Linked DNA regions of Macaca fascicularis. The protein of the gene in region 1 interacts with the protein of each later gene in a biochemical or structural test. Links are inferred from orthologs where the notes say so. Each region holds a gene or a part of one and is shown in the gene's direction. Other genes may lie near its edges. The genes, in order: PTPN6 and PECAM1.

Evidence for each region.
Region 2: the proteins of PTPN6 (region 1) and PECAM1 form a complex in vitro, tested with the Homo sapiens proteins (2 studies listed by BioGRID, with this or other methods). The link is inferred for Macaca fascicularis from reciprocal best matches to the Homo sapiens genes PTPN6 and PECAM1.

The regions. Positions count from the first base shown.
Region 1 is NC_088385.1:7,893,978-7,897,784, forward strand, and holds part of PTPN6 (tyrosine-protein phosphatase non-receptor type 6), read left to right. Parts: intron 1-553; coding exon 554-743; intron 744-898; coding exon 899-1,015; intron 1,016-1,119; coding exon 1,120-1,233; intron 1,234-1,408; coding exon 1,409-1,505; intron 1,506-2,141; coding exon 2,142-2,221; intron 2,222-2,417; coding exon 2,418-2,567; intron 2,568-2,906; coding exon of another isoform or gene 2,907-2,927; exon of another isoform or gene 2,928-3,110; intron 3,111-3,653; coding exon 3,654-3,785; intron 3,786-3,807. UniProt on the Homo sapiens protein: Tyrosine phosphatase enzyme that plays important roles in controlling immune signaling pathways and fundamental physiological processes such as hematopoiesis.
Region 2 is NC_088390.1:71,000,554-71,005,076, reverse strand, and holds the start of PECAM1 (platelet endothelial cell adhesion molecule), read left to right. Parts: upstream 1-1,651; 5' UTR 1,652-1,806; intron 1,807-4,523. UniProt on the Homo sapiens protein: Cell adhesion molecule which is required for leukocyte transendothelial migration (TEM) under most inflammatory conditions.

The DNA.
Region 1 (3,807 bases):
GTCTCTCTGTCCATCTCCCACCACTCCCTGTGGTGTGGCCTTGGTCTGTGTTTCTCTTTGCCTCTGGTCTCTGCCGGGGCACAGCCTGATCCTTCATGGAGACTCTTCCTTAGTTTCCCTCTTCCAAATATTTGGAATATTGCCAGCCCTTCTGCCTTTCAGAGGTGGTCTCTGGGTTCAAAGCCTGGTCAGAATTCTGGGGGCTAAGATAGCTTGAGCCTGGGAGGTCAAGGCTGCAGAGAGCAATAACCGTGCCCCTGCACTCCAGCCTGGGCAACAGAGCTCTGGAGGCTTGCCTTGGAGTCCATCAGGGGCCCTAGGCCAGTGAGTAACAGCTCAGCGTCAGTTTCCTCATCTATAAAATGGGGGTAATATCATACCCAGCCCTCAGCATGTTTGTGAGAGGCATCAATACGATGGTGGATTTGGAACCATCTAGCGCAGTGCCTGGCCACAGTAGGTGCTTGATTTCCTGCCCCTCTCTGTGAATATCTTTGCTCAGCGCCTTCCCCTGTGGCCTGGGTCTCACCTTCCCTGACGCTGCCTTCTGTAGGTGGTACCATGGCCACATGTCTGGAGGGCAGGCAGAGACGCTGCTGCAGGCCAAGGGCGAGCCCTGGACATTTCTTGTGCGTGAGAGTCTCAGCCAGCCTGGAGATTTTGTGCTATCTGTGCTTAGTGACCAGCCCAAGGCTGGCCCAGGCTCCCCGCTCAGGGTCACCCACATCAAGGTCATGTGTGAGGTAAGGCAGCCAGGTGGTGGGGGAGCCTCTGCTGAGGCTCCTGTCTGTGACCGCAGTGTGGGTGGCAGGGAGGGTCTGCCTGGGCTTGAATTCAAGGCTGGGGCCCAGGGAGGGAGACTCGAGCCCTGTGAGTGGCCTTATTTGGCTCCCTCCAGGGTGGACGCTACACAGTGGGTGGTTCAGAGACCTTCGACAGCCTCACGGACCTGGTGGAGCACTTCAAGAAGACGGGGATTGAGGAGGCCTCAGGTGCCTTTGTCTACCTGCGGCAGGTCAGGCGGGGACCCAGCTGCTTCCTCCCTTCCCCTGAGCTGTCCCCCAGGTGTGAGCTTCTGAGACCTCTGAGTTGCTGACTTCTCGCTCTCCCCTATCCCAGCCGTACTACGCCACGAGGGTGAATGCGGCTGACATTGAGAACCGAGTCTTGGAACTGAACAAGAAGAAGGAGTCCGAGGATACAGCCAAGGCTGGCTTCTGGGAGGAGTTTGAGGTGCATGGTGGGGAACCGGCAGGGCTGGGGCAGCTGAGGCGGTGGCGGCCGCGTGGGGCCCCAGGCGGACACCTTCCTCCCCTTGCCCACCTCTGCTCCTGACCCACCCCACGTGAGCTCCCCTGATGGGTGCTCTCTCTGGGAGGTGATGCTCATTTCCTCACCCACATCTCAGAGTTTGCAGAAGCAGGAGGTGAAGAACTTGCACCAGCGTCTGGAAGGGCAGCGGCCAGAGAACAAGGGCAAGAACCGCTATAAGAACATTCTGCCCTGTGAGCACCCAGCCTGCCCCATTCACCCAGGAGACCGCCCCACCCCAGCCACTGCCCCTGCCCCATTCACCCAGGAGACCGCCCCTGCTGCAGCCGCTGCCCCTGCCCCATTCACCCAGGAGACTGCCCCGCCCCAGCCGCCGCCCCTGCCCCATTCACCCAGGAGACCGCCCCACCCGAGCCACTGCCCCTGCCCCATTCACCCAGGAGACCTCCCCTGCTACAGCCGCTGCCCCTGCCCCATTCACCCAGGAGACTGCTCCGCCCCAACCGCCGCCCCTGCCCCATTCACCCAGGAGACCGCCCCGCTCCAGCCGCCGCCCCTATCTCACAGGTCTCCACCCTCCACTCCAGGAGGGGCCATCTCCCCACACCCCTTCTCCAAAAGGCCTCTACTCCTCCCAGAAGTGCCTCCCCACCATCAGCAGGCAGGCTGCCCCTTGCTCCTAACCTCCTTCTTGTGAATCCCCTCACTCCCTCCGTACAGATGATCCCCCACCCCTGCTGCCCACAGTCCCCCGCAAGCCTCATGGCTTCTGAGACCAGAACGGCCTGTTAGCTCAGGAGGGTCTGACACAGGTGTGGTGAGTCCCTGGCTGACCCAGGCCATCTCGCCTCCTCTCCACCCACTCCCAGTTGACCACAGCCGAGTGATCCTGCAGGGACGTGACAGTAACATCCCGGGGTCCGACTATATCAATGCCAACTACATCAAGGTCAGTGGTGTGGGTCATGTGGGAGGAGAGGCTGGGCCCTGGGAATTCCCTGTCTGGTGGGGGACCCTAGATCCAGAGACACCTGGGCAAAGCCAAAGCTGGCTTCTTGCATGGGTGAGGGGAGCAGTGGTTCAGGCCCTGTGCTGGGCTGAGGGGCTCACTGTTTTGGGGTGCGTCTCTCCACGCTTGTGTCCAGAACCAGCTGCTAGGCCCTGATGAGAACACTAAGACCTACATCGCCAGCCAGGGCTGTCTAGAGGCCACGGTCAACGACTTCTGGCAGATGGCGTGGCAGGAGAACACCCGCGTCATCGTCATGACCACCCGAGAGGTGGAGAAAGGCCGGGTAGGGCACCCCGCCCCATCCCCACATCCGTGCCCCGTCCTTGTGGTCATACCATTAAGTCAAAGAACCGTCAGATGCCAGAGCAGAAAGGGATCTCGGGGGTGAGGGTCCAGCCTTGTTGGGAAACTGAGGGCTAGTGACAAAGTCTCGACTACACGATGCAACCCCCAGATCCCTGCATGCACCCCTGGGCTCTTCTGAGCTCCAGACCCAGGTTTTAGGCTGTCCTCCTTCCTCCTACACCTTCCCCACCTGTCTGCATCCAGGCCCCTCCTGTCCTCCCTGCCCCATAGATGTCTGTGGAGTCTGCCCCTCACTCTGCAGCCTCCCCTTACACAGCACCCTCTGTGCTGCCGTTGAAGTGATGCCATCCGTGACAAACTGGGTCGAGTTCCTTCCCCTCTGAAATCTCTTCCATGGCTCCTGGTCACCTTTGGGATAAAGTCACACTCGAAGGCCTGGCGTTCAAGGCCTGGTGGTTTCCCTGTGACTCCCACGCTTCTCTTGAAGGCTCACCGCTCCCAGCAGCCGCGGCTCTTTCAGGTTCCCAGCCTTTCTTTGCACAAGCTCTTTTCTGCTAGGAAATGACTCTGTCTCCACACTGTCTCCGCCCGGCAGATGCCTCGTGTTTGAAGACACAGCTGAAGCGCTGCCTTCTCTGTGAATTCAGGTCTTGTTTTCTCCAGGACCTAGAGGGCGAGTTTCCTCGTTCCCAGCCACGCTCCTCAGCGCGGCGTCTCCCCGGTCACTTGTCTCTGTGAGCTCCTCCAGGCACAGGGGCACAGACTGGGTGTTAGCTGTGTCTGTGACTACAGCCTGGTTTGCACGGCTTCGGGGACAACGCCTGCCTCGGCAATGTTTGTTGAATGACAAATGGATGTACCAGTAAAGCGGCTGGCCAGGTCGCACCACCTGTTGGTGGCTGATCTGAGACGAGAGCCCAGGTCTCCTGCCTCTCTGCCAGCTCATCTATCCATCCAACAAACGTTTGGGCTGGCGCCAGGCACTCAGAACCTAGAGCGGGACCTGGGATGGGCCACAGCGCCCTGCTCTGTGCCTCATCCCCACCCGACCCTCCCTTTCCAGAACAAATGTGTCACATACTGGCCCGAGGTGGGCACTCAGCGCGTTTATGGGCCCTACTCTGTGACCAACTGCGGGGAGCATGACACGACCGAATACAAACTCCGCACCTTACACGTCTCCCCACTGGACAATGTGAGCGGCCCCCACTCCCTGC
Region 2 (4,523 bases), on another chromosome or scaffold:
AGAATGCACAAATACCTGTTTTGGCTTCAGTGCCTGGGAAATGGCAGTGCTCTTCCCCGATCAGCGGCCAGGCCACTCAGGGTGTAAGACAGTAGCTCCCCTAATCCCTTGGGCTGTTGTGTGCATGATCTGCTGTCAGGTCCTTCTTCATTAGATCTAGAAGATACAGTAATCAGAAGAATAAAAATACTGTCTAGGTAAAAGAAATTTTTAAATTTATAATGTGAATATATTTTTATTTATACCAGTACAGTTTCAAAACATAATTTTTATTTCTTTTTATGGAGGAAGAGGTCTACAAAGGCAAAAATGCCTATGGTTATGAGTCATAATACAACCATGTCAGCCAGGTGCAGTGGCTCATGCCTATAATTCCAGTACTTTGGGAGGCCGAGGCGTGCAGATTGCTTGAGCTCAGGAGTTTGAGACCAGCCTGGGCAATGTGGCGAGATCCCGTCTCTACAAGAATTACCAAAATTAGCCAGATGTGGCGGTGCATGCCTATAGTTTCAGCTACTCGAGAGGCTGAGGTGGGAGGATGGCATGAACCTGGGAGGCAGAGGTTGCAGTGAGCTGTGATCACGCCACTGTACTCCAGCATGCGCAACAGAACAAGAACCTGTCTCAAAAAAAAAACCCCAAAACCCAAAAACAAAACAACCATGTCCGTTGTAACTGGAGAAGGCCTCCTGCAGGGGATGGGATAGCACAGACTCCTCCACAATGTCCCTGCCTGCCTTTGCCCAGCTGCCCACCTTTGTGAGGGGCCAGACTGGGGTGGTGAGGGCAGCACATGGTGGGTGTGGAAGAAAAGGCACTGAGCGCTGGCCCTTGGGTTCATGAGTCAGCAGAGCTCCAGAGCAGTGATTCAGATGTGGCATGCCCAGCCAAACCAGACCAACAACTGTTGTTATTGTTCAATCATAACCATTGTTTTTTAAAAAAAATTTTAATTAATTATTATTACTTTTTGAGACAGGGTCTTGCCCTGTTGCCCAGGCTAGAGTACAGTGGTGTGATCGCGGCTCACTGTAGCCTCAAACTCCTGGGCTCAAGCGTTGCTCCTGCCTCAGCTTCACAAGTAGCTGGGACCACGGGCATGCACCACCGTACCCAGCTATTTTTAAAATTTTTTTTGTTGTTACTATGTTCTTATTGTGCTCTGTTGGTTAAACGTGCTTTCAAAGGCTAGCTCTTGTTTGATCTTCCTAACAAGCCTATTCAATGGATAGATGGGCATATTATTCCCATTATATAGGTGAGGAACCTGAGCCTCAGAGCATTTAAGCTATTAAATTACAGAGAACAGACAAGAACCTCAGGCTTCTGATTTACGCATTAGTGCATGTTCACTTCCAGGCTGGGGTGTGTCCCAAACCCAGTGGATGCGGGCTGTTGAGTCTGGCTCTTCAACTCTCCAAGACTAATGAGATCTGCAGCTACAGGTGGGGGAAATGGAATGGCCGGTGAATCTCATTTCCCATCACCATCGTCATGAAATAGGTGGTTGGCCTCCTGTGCCTGGTGCTGGTAGCCCTCTGACATGTCTGTTGCCCACCTGCCTCCACCTTCCTCCCCCCACCTCACCCCCAGCTGCTCAGAAAAACCACTTCCTGAAGTTTACTCCAGCAGGCAGCTTTTTTTTTGGTGCAGTTAATGAGTTGCTATGTTTCGGAACTGCGTTACTTACCTGGTATTTGAAGGCAGGAGCACTGCAGGTAGAAATGACTGTGTGTCTGTCCTCCTTCAATTCCACTTGGCTGAGGAGAAGAAGCGAACAACACCATGTGACAAGCAGAGTCCTGGGTGAGTTTGTTAAGCCTGGTGGGAACTCGTGGGGTCTCTTGGTTATGTAGGAGTCAGTCACTTGATCAGTTACAAGAAGCCAAAGCAGTGTGGGAATCTCTGCCCCCACCCAATCAAGGAATCCACCAAGGTCAAGGGGAAGAAGCAGGGAGAAAGGAGAGGCCCACAAACAAATAAAAACCCATTCAATTTACTATATTGAAAAAGGCCAGGCCAGGCATAGTGGCTCATGCCTATAATCCCAGCACTTTGGGAGGCTGAGGCTGGAGGATCTTTTGAAACAAGGAGCTGGAGACCAGCCTGGGCAAGACCCTGTCTCTACAAAAAGTAAAAAATTAGCTGTGTGTGGTGGCGCACACCTATAGTCCCAGCTACTTGGGAGGCTGAGGCAGGAGGATAGCTTGAGCCCAGGAGTTTGAGGCTGCAGTGAGCCATGATTGTGCCACTGCACTCCAGCCTAAGCAACAGAGTAAGACCCTGTCTAAAAAAAAAAGAAAAAAAATAAGATGTTGGCTGGGTGCAGTGGTTCACACCTGTAATCTCAGCACTTTGGGAGGTTGAGGTGGGCGGATTGCTTATGGTCAGGAGTTTGAGACCAGCCTGGCAAACATGGTGACACTCCGTCTCTACTAAAAATACAAAAATTAGCTGGGCATGGTGGTGCATGCCTGTGATCCCAGCTACTCGGGAGGCTGAGGAAGGAGAGTTGCTTGAACTCAGGAGGCAGAGGTTGCAGCAAGCCGAGATTGTGGCACTGCACTCTAGCCTGGGCAACAGGGCAAGACCCTGTCTCAAAAAAAAAAAAAAAAAAAAAGCTAACTGATACACAGATGACAAATAAGCATGTGAAAACATGCTCAATATTGTTAGTCAATAAGAAAATGCATATTGAAACCGTAATAAGATATTACTACACCCCCCACTAGGATGGCTAAAATTAAAGGCCTGCCAAGTGTTGGTGAGGGTGTGGAGCAACTGGGACTCAGGCACTGCTGATGGGAATGCAAAATGGCATAACCAGTTGGGAAAACAGTTTCTTAAAATATTAAACATACATACACCTATTGTATAATCTGGCTGCTTCATTCCTAGGTATTTACCCAAGAGAAATAAAAATATATGTCCGTACAAAGGTTTGTTCATAGCAGCTTTTTCTGTAACTGTGTAAGATTGGAAACAGCCTAAACGTCCATCAGTAGGTGAATGGAGAGGCTGGGTGCAGTAGCTCATGTCGTAATCCCAGGGTTTGGGGAAGCTGAGGCGGGGGGATGGCTTGAGACCAGGAGTTCAATACCAGCCTGGGTAACAAGAAAAACCTTGTCTCTAAAAAAAAAAAAAAAAAAATTAGAAAAAATAATAGATGAATAAATAAGTAAACTGTGGTGTGTTCATATAATGAACTGCTACTCAGCAGTAAAAAGGAATGAAATATTGATACATCCACCAACATGACAACATGGAGGAATCTCAGAATAATTACATTGATCGAAAGAAGACAGGCCAGGCTGGGCACGGTGGCTCACGCTTGTAATCCCAGCCCTTTGGGAGGTCAAGGCAGATGGATCACGAGGTCAGGAGTTCAAGATCAGCCTGGTCAAGATGGTGAAATCCTGTCTCTACTAAAAATAAGGAAATTAGCCAGGCGTGGTGGCAGGCGCCTGTAATCCCAGCTACTGGGGAGACTGAGGCAGAGAATTGCTTGAACCCGGAAGGTGGAGGTTGCAGTGAGCTGAGATTGTGCCATTGTACTCTAGCCTGGGCAACAGAGAGAGACTCCGTCTCAAAAAAAAAAAAAAAAAAAAGAGAAAAAAGACACACCAAAGATACTGATAATAATAATACAAGGTACATACTGTATGAATCTTTACAAAATTCCAGAACATGCAAACTCATCAGAAAGCAGATCAATCCTTGCAGCGGGGAGAGTGCAGAGGGCAAGGGAGACAAAGGGCACAGGAACCTTTTGGGGGTGGTGGATGTATCTGCTTCCTTGATTATAGAGGTTGTTTCATCGGTATACACATGTCAACACTTTTCTAAGTGTATACTTTAAACATTTGCAACTTATTGTATGTCAGTTATATAATACTTCATAAAGCTGAACAGAAATTCAATTTCTTAATTAAAATTTTAAAGGTAATACTGTCGGGCACGGTGACTCAAGCCTGTAATCCCAGCAGTTTGGGAGACCGAGGTGGGTGGATCACCTGAGGTCAGGAGTTCAAGACCAGTCTGGCCAACATGGTGAAAACTCATCTCTACTAAAAATACAAAAATTAGCCGGGTATGGTGGCGCATGCCTGTAGTCCCAGCTACTTGGGAGGCTGAGACATGAGAATCACTTGAACCCTGGAGGTGGAGGTTGCAGTGAGCTGAGACTGTGCCACAGCCTGGGCAACAGCGCAAGACTCCAACTCAAAAAAAAAAAAAAAAAAAAAAGGTTAAAGGGTAATACAGTCACATGATTTAAAAACCAAAGTACAGGCCGGGCGCGGTGGCTCAAGCCTGTAATCCCAGCACTTTGGGAGGCCGAGACGGGCGGATCACGAGGTCAGGAGATCGAGACCATCCTGGCTAACATGGTGAAACCCCGTCTCTAATAAAAAATACAAAAAAAAAACTAGCCGGGCGAGGTGGCGGGCGCCTGTAGTCCCAGCTACTCGGGAGGCTGAGGCAGGAGAATGGCGTGAACCCGGGAGGTGGAGCTTGCAGTGAGC